Macaca mulatta: one gene and its partners. The protein of the gene in region 2 interacts with the protein of the main gene of each other region in a pairwise test. Links are inferred from orthologs where the notes say so. Each region holds a gene or a part of one and is shown on either strand. Other genes may lie near its edges. The genes, in order: EHHADH, KCTD6, GRB7 and CTNND1.

The links.
Region 1: the proteins of KCTD6 (region 2) and EHHADH interact in binary tests that used the Homo sapiens proteins (3 or more experiments, as listed by UniProt). The two-hybrid records come from large-scale screens. The link is inferred for Macaca mulatta from reciprocal best matches to the Homo sapiens genes KCTD6 and EHHADH.
Region 3: the proteins of KCTD6 (region 2) and GRB7 interact in binary tests that used the Homo sapiens proteins (3 or more experiments, as listed by UniProt). The two-hybrid records come from large-scale screens. The link is inferred for Macaca mulatta from reciprocal best matches to the Homo sapiens genes KCTD6 and GRB7.
Region 4: the proteins of KCTD6 (region 2) and CTNND1 interact in binary tests that used the Homo sapiens proteins (3 or more experiments, as listed by UniProt). The two-hybrid records come from large-scale screens. The link is inferred for Macaca mulatta from reciprocal best matches to the Homo sapiens genes KCTD6 and CTNND1.

What each region holds. Positions count from the first base shown.
Region 1 is NC_133407.1:97,411,184-97,414,746, forward strand, and holds part of EHHADH (peroxisomal bifunctional enzyme), read right to left. Parts: intron 1,495-3,563; coding exon 1,391-1,494; intron 1-1,390. UniProt on the Homo sapiens protein: Peroxisomal trifunctional enzyme possessing 2-enoyl-CoA hydratase, 3-hydroxyacyl-CoA dehydrogenase, and delta 3, delta 2-enoyl-CoA isomerase activities. Catalyzes two of the four reactions of the long chain fatty acids peroxisomal beta-oxidation pathway.
Region 2 is NC_133407.1:122,078,925-122,082,995, reverse strand, and holds the start of KCTD6 (BTB/POZ domain-containing protein KCTD6), read right to left. Parts: upstream 2,801-4,071; 5' UTR 2,715-2,800; intron 2,529-2,714; exon of another isoform or gene 462-2,528; intron 1-461. UniProt on the Homo sapiens protein: Probable substrate-specific adapter of a BCR (BTB-CUL3-RBX1) E3 ubiquitin-protein ligase complex mediating the ubiquitination and subsequent proteasomal degradation of target proteins.
Region 3 is NC_133421.1:64,090,811-64,094,909, reverse strand, and holds the start of GRB7 (growth factor receptor-bound protein 7), read right to left. Parts: upstream 2,805-4,099; 5' UTR 2,374-2,804; intron 2,156-2,373; exon of another isoform or gene 2,115-2,155; intron 1,936-2,114; exon of another isoform or gene 1,585-1,935; intron 1-1,584. UniProt on the Homo sapiens protein: Adapter protein that interacts with the cytoplasmic domain of numerous receptor kinases and modulates down-stream signaling. Promotes activation of down-stream protein kinases, including STAT3, AKT1, MAPK1 and/or MAPK3. Promotes activation of HRAS.
Region 4 is NC_133419.1:15,575,927-15,579,489, forward strand, and holds part of CTNND1 (catenin delta-1), read right to left. Parts: intron 3,417-3,563; coding exon 3,310-3,416; intron 2,898-3,309; coding exon of another isoform or gene 2,811-2,897; intron 2,512-2,810; coding exon 2,500-2,511; 3' UTR 1-2,499. UniProt on the Homo sapiens protein: Key regulator of cell-cell adhesion that associates with and regulates the cell adhesion properties of both C-, E- and N-cadherins, being critical for their surface stability.

The DNA of each region.
Region 1 (3,563 bases), about 25 Mb from region 2:
TGAGAATTACTAGTTATATTTTGTTATTGATTTCTAGCTTAATTGCATTATTGTCAGATAATATATTCTTAATGAAATTTATTTAAATAAGATTTTATAATTCAGTATCTAGTCAATTTTTGTAAATGTTCCAGATGTATTTCAGAAGAATCTATATTCTCCCATTTTGGGGTGCATTGTTCTATGTACATGCATTAAGCCAAGTTTCATAATCCCTAATACTTTTTTAGAAGAATAATTTTTTCTGCCTCCGAACTCTAATTGCATTCTCTCATCTACCTTCTTTCTTACAAAGAAATATCAAGTTCTTTATCATTCTGATCACTCTTTCCATGCATCATTGTCATCATCTTGGGTGCCAAACCTTAAGTTTCCAAACAGTGAGTAAGCTATTTAATAACTGGTTAAGGTTTGGGACATTATATTAATCTCTTCCAGGCTCAAAATATCTTCTTACCTGTAAATGAGGATTGTAGGACTAACTGAGAATTAAAATAGAATGTGTTTAAAAATACTATTACTTTTATTATTATTAATAAATAACCTACATGGTACTAGCACATAACAGGCAAGATAAATGGTAATATTATAATGATTCACATTTTTATATTTATTTATTGCCATGATTCTAACATCTGTGTCTTTTCAGGCTACCATTAACACACATTAAATTTCTCTGGCTACAGTAAGGTTGAATAGGCCCCCATATCCATGTGACTTTTGTTAAAGGGTATAATGTATTCATTAAGGAAAAGATGCCATATATACCATTGAATAAATCACCATTTCAAAATACTTTTGCCATATTTTGTCAAGAATTTTGCATCTTCACACAATAACCCAATAAAACAGTGCCATTGTCACTGAGATGGGTGACTACCAGAAGAAAAATGAATTCTATTATAAGACTCTGTGTGAATTAAACAGTAACGTTTATTGACCATCTTCTGTGTATAGGTACTGTAGTAGAGGCTTCCAGATATGTTATCTCATTTAATGTCACAAAAACCCCTTAAAATAGATATTATTGTTCCTACTTTATAGATAGAGAAATTGAGGTTCAGGAGGTTAAAGAGATTTGCCCAAGCCCATATGTGGTGGAGATACATGCAATGCAGGTATATATCAGTAAGTGTGTAACAGCCATCAAGTCTGGAACTAAATATACTCTAAAACCCCAATCCACTATAAAAGAGACTAAGCCCAAAGTCTTCTCTGGGTCTCTCTTGTAATTCCAGTCCCTTTCTCCACAATGTTTCTCATTCTCACTCAAGTCTGTCATTTCCATTACCTACACTAAGTTATTACTCACAAGCACAGCTAATGTAGTATTGGTCTCAGTCTGTGGTTGGCTTCCAGAGATAGTGGGAAAGGGTTAGACTTAAGTTACCTGCAGAAAATTTGCCCTCTGCTCCACAAATCACAATGGCTTTTATTGTATGGTCTATTACAGCTTTCTGTAGTCCTTCTTTTACATCACGGAGTACGGCCGTACTAAAAGAAAACAAAATACACTAACTAAATTAGTCAGAATTAAATTCCTACCATTCAGAGTGTTTTCCTTTCCTAACAATGAAAAATTAAACACACACATAATGGATAAGAACTACAGATACTTCTCAATAAAGCTTCCAACAAATAATATATGTGTCTACTATGACTATTATATTTGTTCTACAAATAATATATGTGCCTATGATTAATTAAGCACTGAACAGATTAAATTAATCCACTTTTTAAAACTGTAATTTTCCTGCCCTGTGCTTTCACTTTGACCACTTAAAATTGGCACCAACCAATTTAAAAATATTATTACATGGCTTCCATATACTGTACAAGGAGTTATCCAATACTTGTACATAATTTATCATGTAAGGTGCACTAAGATGAGTGCTGTAAAAAAGGTACAAAGAAAAAGTGATGTTGAAATCGAGAAGGGTGAAATGACTTTCAATTTTTCATATTGGTAAAATATAAGAAAATTAAATGAGAAACAGTCTAGGAGCTGTGGCAGGGGCTGTGAGTTACCTCAAATATCCATTCCTCTCCGTCTTCTTCATAGTATTAAAACACCTGGTTTTTACTTGAATATATGTGATATGGTTTTGGCTCTTAATCCCCACCAAAACTTCATTTTGAATTGCAATCCCCACATATCAGGGAAAGATCTGGCGGGAGGTGACTGGATCATACCAATGGTTTGCCCCATGCTGTTGTTCTGTGAGGGAATTCTCAGGAGATCTAGTGGTTTATAAGTGGCAGTCTCCCCTGCACTCACGCCTCTCTCCTGCCACCTTGTGAAGAAGGTACTTGCTTCTCCTTTGCCTTCCGCCATGATTGTAAGTTTCCCCAGGCTTCCCCAGCCATGTGGAACTGGCAGTCAATTAAACCTCCCTCCTTTATAAATTACCCAATCTTGGGTATGTCTTTATAGCAATCTGAAAATGAAAATGGACTAATACAAAAATACGGTTGCCCAAAATAAAGACTACATTTTCCAGCCTGCTTTACAGTAAGGTCTGCACAAGGAACTAAGTTCTAGCCAATGGGATGGAAGCATATTTGGTATGTGCAACTTTTGGGAAGAGTTCTGAAAGATTTGGGTATGCTTTTCCCTTTTTCTTTCCTCCCTACTCCTGGCACCAATGATGGTTAGATCAGGAGCAGCCAGCTTGGATCAGGAGACAGAAGCTATGTATTGAGGATGGTAGAGCAAGAGATAGACAGAATAAATAATTGAGGCCCTTGTTGATTGTGGAGCAGCTGTATCATTCCAGGACACTGCCGCGAGAGAAATTAGCTTTTTATTGTCTAATTTACTATTATCTTGAGTATTCTGTCAGTGACAGCCAAGCATAATCTCAGATAAGAGATAAAAGCAAGATCGTGGAAAGATAGGGCATGTAGCAGATTTTGCCAAGTTTTAGTATATGAGGAAGTAATCCACAAAAGAGATAGCTAAAACCAAGACTGAATGAGTCTACCAATGGAAAAGAGAGCTGAGGGCAGATCCTCTGGATATATCTTCATTTAAGAAGTGGGAGAAGCTCAGCAGCGTGATTCAGCAAGTGAGCCCAAAGTCACAAAGACCAAGAGAGAAAATTTGTGAAGAAGGAGGGGATTAATAAGTACCAAGCAACCGAAGAGAATCTAGGGCAAGTGGTGAGGAACTGCTTAAAAGAAAAATCACAGAACCAGATTCCAATCAGTTTTGCCTTGGAATTCCAAGTATTCTGGGTAAAATCTCTGTTCTTTAGTATACAGGGTTAAAAATAAATTTTAAAACAAAACAAACAATAACAAACTTCTGTAAAGGCCAAATTGTTAAGACCAATAACTATGAGCTAAAAACCCAAGCAATAAAAAGGATACTTGCCCTTGTATATAATGGTTCCCTTTCACCTAATTACTTTTCACCTCTTAACCTAGATGAAACCAGACAAACCCTCTTGCCTTCAGCTGGTTAATTAGAAGCCAAATCTGATCACAAAAAGCAAATTCAGAACCATTATATAATAAAAAAATTCAAAAGGCACACATTTCCTTCTGAATAAACAATGCCT
Region 2 (4,071 bases):
GACAGTGTCATGTTAGCAGGTAATTAAGCTTAAGAAAACACATACTGAAGAATTTACAGAAGCCTTAAAAGAAAATATTAATTTTCTAAAGTAGTATATCTGAAGAATACATAATTCAGTAAGTTAATAACTTAAAAAAGTAACCTAAGAACCCTTAAATGCCATTCTCCCTGTCACTGCAGAATTGCAATTTCAGGCCTCATGGTTACGATGAACCAACCTAACAATATTCTGGGTTTATCATTCTTGCTATAGATTAAGAATTCTCCAGGGCAAAAGTCCTAATCCTGTATAACTACCTATATGTTGCAATAAAAACCTCCGAACTTCAATGAAAAATAAAAACTTCCAACTACTGACTTCCCAGAGTTTCCAGGCAGCCCTTTAAAATGCGTTTTTAATGAAACCTTCGTGTCTGGTAGTCAGAAAAGACTCAATAAACTCCCTCTCTCTATACTTACCTTCAAAATTGCCTTTTTACTGAGTTTTGCTCTTCTTGAAATGTGGGAGTTTGAAAGTGAAATACTTTTTATAGTAACTAGTTCAGCGACATCTAAAGGAGCCTTTGGGGTTAACATTCACATACAGGCCAGCACAAGTAGCCAGGCATACAAGGATAATGTGATTATGGTGTTACATTATCCTTAACCATACCACTGCAGAAATGGATTTTTCTCTAAAAGTAATCATTTTCTCTTTCTCCTCTCTCAACCATGTGGTCAAGAAGAGAGGAGTTACAGGTTTAAAAGTGACCTAATATTAAAAAGCTGTCACAAAATCGTAACACTCCTCTTAACCCTCAGTTTCCGAAAGGTAAGATGGGCTAATACCATCTTCCCAAAAGTAATTACACCATTTAGGCACTACACAAAAGCAAAAATTGGCCTATAAGAGTAACACATCACAGGACAAGGAAAGAGAACAGGTTCCCAGGGAGGTCCTGTAGTCGAATTTTGCTCCATTACTGATTATGAGACCCTGAGAAAATGACTCTTTATGCTCAGCTTCTTCTTTGGGGAAATGGAGAAAATAAAGGAGATCATGAATATAAAACCATCTGTAAACTGGCAAGTATTAGACAAACGTGAAAACACTAGTGGCAGCAGCATAAACAAAATTTCTATGTTAACATGAAAAACTTGAGTGTGAACAAAGTAATTTAGAGCATTGGCCTGGAGACGGCAAATATGGAGGAGGCAGCCTCTTAATTTGCTCTAAATCTCCCCGGGTCCTCTTTTTCCCACAGCTCCAGAAGGGAGAACTACATACAGGTAAAGGGGAGTGTCTAGTTTTCCCAGAGATCACCCAACATCTGAGCTCCTGATCTCAGAAGGAACTTCCTTAAAGCATGACTCAGGATTATCTCCAAGGTAAAGCTGAATCCAAATACATACATGTACTCCATTTTAAATGGACCCCAAATATCAAAATCCAAACGCACCGAAGGATTCATAGGGTTCACCCTAAGATTTCTGTAAGTAGTAATGCTTTGGTTAAAATATGATTTATGAAAATTCAAATCACAAAACTTTGGGATGGCATCCGTGGCTGTCCTGACCACTCCACTCCATCGTTCATATCTAAAGCATAGCACAAAATCAAGTATCTTTATGGACTGATGGTTTTCGGCCAAAGAGAAAATTCTCTCAACCTACCAACCCTGCTGACAAAACCATTTTCCTTTTCCTAGCTACATATTTATTCATTTGAAAACATCTCAATCTTGGGCTCAGGACTGTGCTACATGCTGTCCCCAAGCTTCTCTCCTATCCCAGGATGATTCAAGTAATAGGGCATTTGTGACAGCGAAAAAAAGAACATGCCAGGGGGATATGGAAGAGATGCTTAGGCTACCCCAAATATTCTTAGCCGAGCCGGGTCATCCCAGGTCACTTTGCCACCCAAACCTCTTCTATCACAAAGTCCTAAAATTGGATCCATCAACTTGTTCTAGAACTGGTATACTTGAACAGAAACATGATAACTTCAGCAGAATATCCAAACAGGATCTCTGTCACGTTTCATTTCCCCGTCCCACCCCCAGACACAGCCTCCACCACTGACAGCCCAGCAGGTGCTGCCAGGGCTCCCCATTACCACAGCCATTTATCACCTCTGACATCAAGCATTAAAAACGCCACCACACACACAAATCTAGGCATAAAGAACTCAGCTGCAATCTGAGTGTCTCTTCAGGGTAGAAAATCCCAAAGCCAGGGTTTTGAGTCCTGGCTCACGCTTTAAACTAGGGCAATTGGTGGCTAATAAGCGCAATCTCCCAAAAACAATCATTTTCGAGCACACCCCGAATGTCTCCGTCCGGGCCGTGCTTCGCTGCTGCCCCACCAGCGAAACCCCCACAAACCCGACCCGGCCAGGGGTAGGGCGGGCGATGCTCCGGGCCCGGACGAGGGGCGCTCCGCGGAGCTCCGAACCCGGGCCCGCAGAAACCGCGCATCCCCGCGGGCGGACCCCAGAACCCCCGCCCAGGCCCCGCCGCGGGCACCTCCGCCGCCGGCTCGTGCCAGCCCCGGGACGCGCGGTCCCCTCAACGCGGCCCCGCCGCCACCGCCCGGTTCCAGGAGCCCCCGCCCAGATAATCCTCTGCCCCGCTCCCCTGGCCGCTCCGCGCAGACGTCTCCCGAAACCCGGCCCTCCCAAGCCCCGGCCCTCCCAAGCCCCGGCCCCGCAAGCCCCAAGCCAGCCCCACTCACTGCGCGGCGGCGGCGGCGGCGGCGGCAGCGGCGGCGGCCGGGCCGGGAGATGCCCGCGGCCGGAGAGCGCGAGCGCGGGGACGAGCGAGCCCGCGCCCGGCGGCGGCGGCGGCGGCGGCGGCAGAAGGGACGACTGAGCCCGCGCCCGGAGTTGCGGCTCCAGCTGCCCGGCGCGGGCGGCGCCTTCCCAGCAGAGCCGTAGCGCCACAAGCGCGGGCGCCCCCTAACGGCAGCGCGGGCGGGAAGCCAGAGAGCCGGGCGGCCTTAGGAGCGAGCGCAGCCGGAGCCGCGCGGTCAAGACCGCAAGACCGCAGCCCCGAAGCCCCGCCCTGAAGCCCCAGTCCCGCCCCTTAGGCTCAGCTCAGAAGCCCCGAAGCCCCGAAACCCCGCCCCTGCGTCCCGCCTCCGTCCGCAGCCTGGGGTCCGCCCAGCCCCAGGCCCACTGCGTCCTCAGAGCTGGTGTTTCCACAGCTGTTTCTCCTTAGTCATTTCATGAACTTGTATGGGACCCCCACTATATCTCAGGCCTGGGGGTTTAGGAGATACAGCGGCTACCAAGACGCAAGCGGGTCCTAATGAAAGGAGAAGACAGACAAGAGTCAAGGAAACAGCTAATAGACAAAATAATGACAGGTTATGATCATAAGCGTTGGGAGAGGCGTGATTAGAGGACTTAGATGGAGAAGGGAAGGGAGCCCCTGCTTCAAACGCAGTAGCCAAGGAAGACCTGGACCCCGGACCTGCGGTCGGAGCCTCTCCTGCCTGCCCTGCACTGGGGAGACAACCCTGCGATGAGGCCTGTGAAGAAGCCCCCGCGGCCACCCCTCCGGCCTGGTGGGCAGGACAGCAAAGGACAGCTGGGCCCAGAGCCTCAGCAACACGGGCAGCCAGGTGGAGAGAAGGGCAGAGCCACCTTCAGCAGACGAAACGACCCGTGCAAAGGCTCTGGGGCCTGGAGGAGCTCGGCCCTAGATGAGACTGGCGCCGGTATTGTCCCCACTTCACCAGGAAGGAAGCCAAGACTGCAGAGGATGGGCAGCTCCTAACGCCTCAGGGCTAATTGGCCTCCATCCGTCCACTCGTTCCAAGTCCCATTCGCTTCCTACTAGCCAGGCCTCTGTCCCCTTCCGTTGGGACCGGTTACCTGATGCTGGGTTTAACCTTCTCCACCAGAATAACCACTGGCCTTAGAAACTTACTTGGGTTTCACGTCTGCATGTGTGTGAGCTAGCTCTGGGGTTGAAATTATATCAGCATGATCATCACAGTTGTATCTGATACTTGATTCTTCTCCAAAGCTCAAATTGATAGGTTAAATAAATGACATATGCTTCATCAACATACCCAAGTGCTACAT
Region 3 (4,099 bases), on a different chromosome or scaffold from region 2:
CTTGCCAGGGAGTCCCTCACCTGGGAAAGAGAGAGGCAATGCCCGGCCTGGATTCAGAGGCCCATTTGGAGAGAAGCCAGTGTCCCAGCGGTGCCCCTCCCCACCCAAAGCATCGCTCAGAGCCCCCGCCCCGTGTGGATGAGGTTCCTCCCGACACATTCTCCTGGGTGTCCTGGCCAGAGGGGTACCACAGGAGCAGGAGCAGAAAGGGAAAACACTCAAAAAGACAGACAGGATGAAGGGCCAGGGAGGGGGCCCAGGGTCTGGCCAGGAGGGGCAAGATATACCCGCCACCCGCTAGCAAGAGACACCAGCACCTCAATATCAGAACACGATCCCCCACTCCCACCCCAGTCTACCCTCCAAACAGCCCCGGTCTCCAAACAGCCCTGGTGACTTCATTCCAGGTTGCAGGGGGCCAACAGTGGGATGGGGAGAGGAGCAGAGAATTCAGGAGGGCAGCGATTGGAAGGGGTTAGAAGTGGATTTGAATCACATTACAGCCTGGCCTCAGAGATCAGAGAGGGCCAGCCTAAGGCTGGGGTTTGCCTTCAGATCCCCCCACCCGGGCCCTTCAGCCCCTTCTAAGGCTGGAGGCGGGTGGAATCCTCAAGACCAAAGAGGCGAGCAGGGAGGGGAAGGGCTCCTGGCTGTAGGCCTGGCAGCTTAGAGATCTGGAGTTTTGAAACTGAGGCACCGGGAAAGTTTCGGTTGGAAAAACCGACCCCCAAAATCAGTTTGTCCCCTCAACGAGGTAACTCCGGCGGTGTCTTCCCAGCTGCCTCCTCCCCCAGTGGCTCCAGCCCCACCCGCGTTCCCGTCCTCCCAACCTCCTTGTTTACTTCCTGAATCACGCCCCACCTGGCTGGCCCTAAGGGCGGGTGGCGGGGCCCGGTGTTCAGGGCCAACAGAAAACAACTCTACTTCCCAGAGTAGGGGGAAGGGCTTGCGGGACTGAGGCCTGGGCCAGGGGCCTGGATGTGGCGGGAGCGTCCCTGTCCGCCCAGTACTCCACGCCCCGCCCCCACGGGACAGGCTTATAACCTTTTAGGGTGCAGGGCCCAGGTGAGAAGGTGAGAAACCCCTGGATGACTCCTAGTAGAAGGGAGGACCCAGGACTCTGAGGCCCCGCCCACTCTCACTCAGGAAAAATACCCAATGAGAGAAGGCGGGGCAGCTCTTTTAAAGTTTAATTCGGGAAGAATGCTGGAGTGTCTGTGCGGTTAATCATTACAGGCTGCCTGCTTCCATGAGGTCCCCCCACCCCGCACACAGCAGGATATCAGGAGAGAGCAGAGTCCAAGACCGGCGGACCAAAAGGGAGCATTCCTGGTGGGCAGTGAGGCTGGAGCGGGGCGGCGAGGGGGGGTTCCACCTTGCCGGCAGGTGCATTCTCTGTCCTCAATCTGCCAGGGAGACCCAGACCGGGTACCTGGGTCTCTCCTTAGCCTCATCAAGCAGAGGAAACCATCTGCCATCCCCTACCCCACTCTCCCCAGGCCCCACCGCACTGCAGAGCCCCTCACCCACCCCTCTAGCCTTCCTGGCCACTTCATGCTGAAGCCAGGAGGGACCCCGGCTCACCCGGCCTCCACTTTCCCACCCGAGGGCCGGAGGCGATGTTGCTGAGCAGGGCATACAGTCTGGAGAGATGGAGCCTCAACAATTTAGAGGATCCCTCTCCTTCACCGTCCTCCAAAGTGGAGGGGGCCCTCCCCACATCTCCCCGCAGCCCGCGGAGACGTCTGTCTTAGAGACTTGGGGAAACCCAAACTGGGGTAAACTGGGCGAGCCAGGGAGTGAGGGCGGCTCTCCCAGGGTGTGCGGGGAGGGGCCAGTTTCAGCGGGAAAGCCAAGTCGGAGGAGAGAATCAGGTCTTCCTTCCCATTCTCGCTGCTGGCTTCGGGGAGGTGTACCGGGAGGGAACAAGGAGGGCTGGAAACCAGGATGGGGACGAAAGAGGGCGGGTGGGGAGGAGGGGGCGGGGTGGGAGATGGGAGGAAAAGAGAAAAGTGGGAGGCCGAGCAACCCAGCAGGAGACCCAGCCTTTCCCTACCGGCCCCCAGACCGGCCGTGCCTGCCCCCAAAGGATGAATGCCCGCTTGGGTTCTTACCTGAACCCCGAACATCAGGACACCCGGCTGGGACCACGTCTTCAGGGAGGGAGACGCCAGGCCCTTAAGTACCTGTCCCCCTCCAGCCCCCGCCCCGGGCCTGACATCACCGAGCGGGGGAGGGGGAGAGCCAGGTGGCTCCAATCCGCCCACCTGGGCCGACGGCCAGTTCGGCCGGAGACGGGCACAGCCTGGGGCCCTGGTGCGGCTGGGGGTTGCCTGGCAGGCTGTTGTCTGAGACCGATCTCTGTCCCCTTACCTGGAGGAGCCCCAGCAGGAGTAGCAGGACACCCGTTCCGAAGTCTGGCTCCGTCTAGGAAACCCCAGATTCCTGGATTTTATTTCAGATCCACTCCCGCTTCTCTACAGGTGGTAGGAGGGTGTCCCGACTTCGGACAGAGAAGTCAGGGCCGGGGGAGCCCTGTGTGTCCAGATTCCAGGCCCAAGGAAACTAAAATTATCTTGGGCAGATGGGGGCGTGTCCAGGGGAGGCGCCTGGGAGGAGGAAGCCTGGGAGGAGGGTGGGGACTCCCTGACACTCTACGCCAACTGGGATTGTTTTTGCCCTTCCTAGCCTGGCAGCAGGTGCCAAGAGAGGGTGCAGGTGCCTAGGAAGAGGCGGGGAAGACAGCCGAACAGACAGCACCAACAGCGAAGATCAAGAGTCCCGACCACCTGGGAGGGCGGGGGGAGGGTCTGAGGGCTGCAAGGTAAAGGGAACCACCGGTCCACTCCTCCCAAACATCCTCCCTGAACCTGGTCTGTTCATTGGCCAAGCCAGGGGGCACTTCTGCAGCTCTGGATCCCACCCCATGGGGCAAAGAGCACCCTGCCAAGGAGGGACGCCAGCCACGGGGGTGTCCAGCAACATGGCCTGCCCGTCGATCTGCAGGCACCCATACCATGGTGGCTGTGCCCTGGCCCCTCAGAGGCACCCAGGGTAAGCCCCTCTCCCGCCCCCCACCTTCTGAGCAAAGTCCAGAGTCTTGGCTTCCCCTTTAAAATCGAGGGGCTTAGGCTGGGTGGCACAGTGGGAGAAGCCATGGTGACCCAGAGAAAGCTCTGGCCTGGGCCCCTGGAGATTCCTCTTAGAGGGATCACTTTATTTTTTTGAGACAGAGTCCTGCTCTGTCACCCAAGCTGGAGTGCAGTGGCGCCATCTCGGCTTACTGCAAACTCCGCCTCCTGGGTTCAAAAGATTCTCCTGCCTCGGCCTCCCGAGTAGCTGGGATTACAGGCCACACACCCAGCTAATTTTTGTATTTTTAGTAAATCGGGGTTTCTCCACGTTGGCCACGTTGGTCTCGAACTCCTGACCTCGTGTAATCTGCCCACCTCGGCCTCCCAAAGTGTTAGGATTACAGGTGTGTGCCACCGCACCCGGCCTGAGGGATCGATTTAGTTCTCTCAGGGATCACTTTAGCTCTCTAGTTCAGCACTGGGCAAACAGGGTACTTGGGAGAAGGGTTGGGAGGCAGAAATCAAAGGCTGTGGCCACCACCCAGCTTGATGCGGGTGACAGGAAAACAAACAATCCTTAGGGTGATAAGAGGTCCACCATGGGGGGGGCACAGAGGAGTGACTCCTGCCTCAATTTTCTCCAGAGTTTTCCTAGGAAAACCGGTATGAATGTGCCCAGCAAAGAAGTGGGGGAGGAGGCAAGGTCTCTTGGGTGATGGAGCAGCTTGTGCAAAGGCAGAGTAGACAATTCACTCATTAATTTATTCAACTCTCTGTTCAGTACCTACCATATGCCAGCCCCATGTTTGGTGCTGGGCATACTGGGGTAAGCAACAAAAACAGACCCCGCCCTATCCTCACACAGCCAATCAGGAAGATTGATGTTAATCAAAGAATCACACAAATAAGAAATGACAGGAGACAACTATGCTGGGAGAATGACTCACATAGGGAGTCAGGAAAGACTTCTCTGTGGAGGTGACAGCTGAGCAGAGGAGAAGGTGGCTGACATGGGAAGGGGGTTG
Region 4 (3,563 bases), on a different chromosome or scaffold from region 2:
TTAAAGAGGGCTACATATTACAGTGGACCTTATTCAATGTTAGTTTTGTCAAATGTTGCAAAAGAATCCCAGTAATTAAAGTCATTAATTCTTTATGCTTCAGTTTCCTATCTCTTAAGTTAGCAATAAGCTCCCATGTTCAACGTCAGCCACATTCAATTTTTAAGAATCTTCAGAAGAAAAAAATGTTTCACATATAGTTAACAAGAATGTTGCTTAATAAGACTTGGGGCTGAGCTCAAAATAAATCCTGGTATAACCTCCTTCTGGTTGCTCTGGAAAGGACACTGATACATAAGGAAGTAACAAAGATGAAAAGCAGGGAAGAAATAACAGCTTGAAGTGAAGAAATGACACAGACCCCCCACATACACACTTTAAAAACTTTATTTATATAAAAAACTCATTTGTTTTTAAAAGCATTAACAAGACAGAAAGAAAAGAGAAAAGGTATGGAGCAGAACACAGGCCCCTTAGTAGTGTTCGGTGGGAAGGTGGGATTTTTGGTTCTCTGGAATTGAATGTTTAGTGTTTTTATAAACAAAAGAGGGAAAAAAAAGTTAAAGGTCCCCAAAAGCCCATGGCTGTTCTATTACCCACACCCCACCGAGAAAAAAGAGCACCAGGAAAAGAGCAGAAGAGGACAAAAGAAATCAAGAGTGGAGCCAGGTCTGGATGGGGCAATTTCCCCTGTGCAGTATGCTCTTAGGGGTCACAGAGAGCAAAAGGCTCCTTTTTGCCAGAAAAGGTAGATGAAAGTGGGAAGAAATGGAAAGCGGGGAAAGGGTAAATGAGAAATTTTAATGCACGAGTAAAGGGGGTGGTGGGTTGTGCACTTTTCTCCTACCCCATAGCCTCAATATATAAGGGAAGGGGAAGAGAGGGATAAAGTTGCATGGAACAGAGCTTTTAGATTAGATTAAGGGGAGTAGAAGGCAAATAAGGAAAAGGATTAAAAATAATAATAATAATCAACCCGCATAGCAGCTGATTTCTCTAGCCCAACCTGCTAATTAATACATGCTAAAGTGAGAGGAGGCAATACTGGAGGGAGGGGACAATTGGGGAGACCACTTCCCTGTAACTCCTTCAGAGATGATGGTAAATTCTGGGCACCTAAGGAGTAAGAGTCACACCACTCACCTCCCTTACCAACCTTACTTTGAGATTCATCAGAATAGAATTTTGGCAAAATCCCACCCACATGCTGTTGAGCAAAAGCTTGCTATGACTGAAATCATGGCTATACCAATCCTCAGTGAAGAATCTGAGGTTCTCTAGGTCACTTCTCTTCTTTCTGCTATTTAGGGCCAATAGTAGGTAAGAAAGCAACAAAATATAATTTGCAAAATTATGAGAAATGAGACTGCAGAGGCAAAGAAAGGCACATGGAAGGGCGGGAGGAGATGCACCCCAGGCCAAAGGCACAAAGAAGAGGCAAAGCCAGGGGCAATCCCCACCTTGTAAGGGTAAAAGGGACAGGAGTTATGTACATCAAGTCCTTTAGTTTGCCAACCAATCCAGGGCAGAGGCAAGGGACAGGCCTATAAGGATAGGAAAAGGAGAAACAGGGGAGTGGGGAAGCCAGTTTCAGACTAATCGTTTCATGTACATTCCTACTAGCTCCTCCTAGAGGTCTTCTTCTTCCCAAAAACACATCTTTCTGCTCCTTCTCAACCAAAAGTCTTCCTTGACATTCTCCCCTTTCTATAGCCTCTTGGAAATGGCCAGGCCAACTCAGCAGACATATCACAGGGCGGGAGAAGTGGGTTAAGGACAGCCTCTGTTTAAGGGGCAGCAGCAATAGCCCAGGGTTGGCATGAGGCTTGCAGAAGAGATGGAGTCTGTAGGTTCTTGATGGTCCCTGCCTTGGAGATGAGGAGAGCAAGGTTTCTTAATCCCAGTTCTAGGAGACCTTCACTTACTCAAGGGTCCTTTGCCAGGTGGCATGTGCCAATGTTGCCGGCCTTCTTTGCTTCAAAAATAGCCATCAGGAATAAGGGAAGAGTTCACACTTTCCCCTCTCTAAAAGAAAATAAAAGTCCCTTCCCCACCAGGAAAAAAATCTTGATTAAGAATCATCAGTTTATCAGACTGCTGGACATTGCATATACAGCATGTAACTTCCAATTCTTCCCACGGCTTCCAGTGAAGATTGCTATTCTCTCCATCCCTCCCTCCACAAAAGGCCAAGAGTTCCAGGGAGAACTGGCAAAAAGAACTAATCTGCAGCAGTTTCTCAAAATATGCAAATAACTGAGTCAGGCTTCTTGGGAGAAAATGGAGAGAATGGGGGAGGGGGAAGCGTTGAGACAATTAAACTTCACCGGAAGAAGTTGGGAATTGATGGAAAGAAGGCAGCCACGTAGGGCTGTAAGGGCAGGAGGCAGCCTGGCAGTTGGCACAATAGTCCAGCGAAGAAAAAGGAAAATCATCAGTCAATTTCACCACCAAAAAATAAAAGTACATATAAGCCCAGATGGAATGGAGACAGTGGTGCTAAATCTTCTGCTGTGGAGAAAAAAGAGAAAGAGAGGATGTTAGCGGGGTTGGGATTAAGGAGACCCCCCCCCTCAAAAAAAGCTGAACAAATCTGGAAACAGGAAAGCAGCACATAATGGAGAATCAGATTACCAGCTGCATGTCCCAGACTCTTAAGAGGTAATAATCACAAAAGCAGAACCCCTCGAGCCCCATGTGGCTGAGACTAGTTAGCCTCTGGCCTGATCAGATCAGCGTGATTGACAAATTGCTGGCACACAGGAGCCTCCTTCCTCAAGGACAATCTTGGGGGTGACTGAAGGACATACCATGGAGGGGTAAGACACTTGGCCCCCCTCATCATCCAAAACCAACACATCCAACTCTTCCTCCAGAGATTCCTGCCCCTCGTCCTGCTGTGAACACATGCAATTTGTTAGTATGAGTAGAGACAGGAACCTCATGTGTGTGCCAGACCTGGGGAAACTCTGAAAATTTGTAAACTCAAACAAAACAAGATATAATAGTAAGAGAAGGGCAAAACATTCATAAACAGGGAGGAAGAGGAAAAAGGTAATGTTTGAAAATAGATCAGTTAGTGTTAGTCATATCAGTAACACTTTTACAGACATGCTTCCCCCATTTTGACCACTGCAGAATAACGGCCCATGAAATCCCAACACGAGTCAAAACCCTTACTTTTTCCTAAAAACCCCTACCAGAAAAGGATGCGATCTTTCTCTGTACTTTTTTTTGTATTTCACAAAACACATAGGATTCAAAATAGAACTAGCCTTAGACAGATAGCAGTATATAAAAAGAATTTACCATCAAGGGTGTTGTTCCCTTCAATGGCTCCATGTCGCCTAGATCCCCCGATCGATCCAGTGTTCTATTGTGGTCTCCTCTCTCATTTGGTGTGGAATAGTTGTTATCTGATTAAAAAAAAAAAAAATTGTACGCAGAAATATGACATTCCCCTCTACTGTACAATATATATCAAGCAGATGGGTGTAATTAGGCACCACTGTTGGGAACTGAGCTTGCCAAATGCTCCAGAAAGGCACTGAAGTCTGATAGTC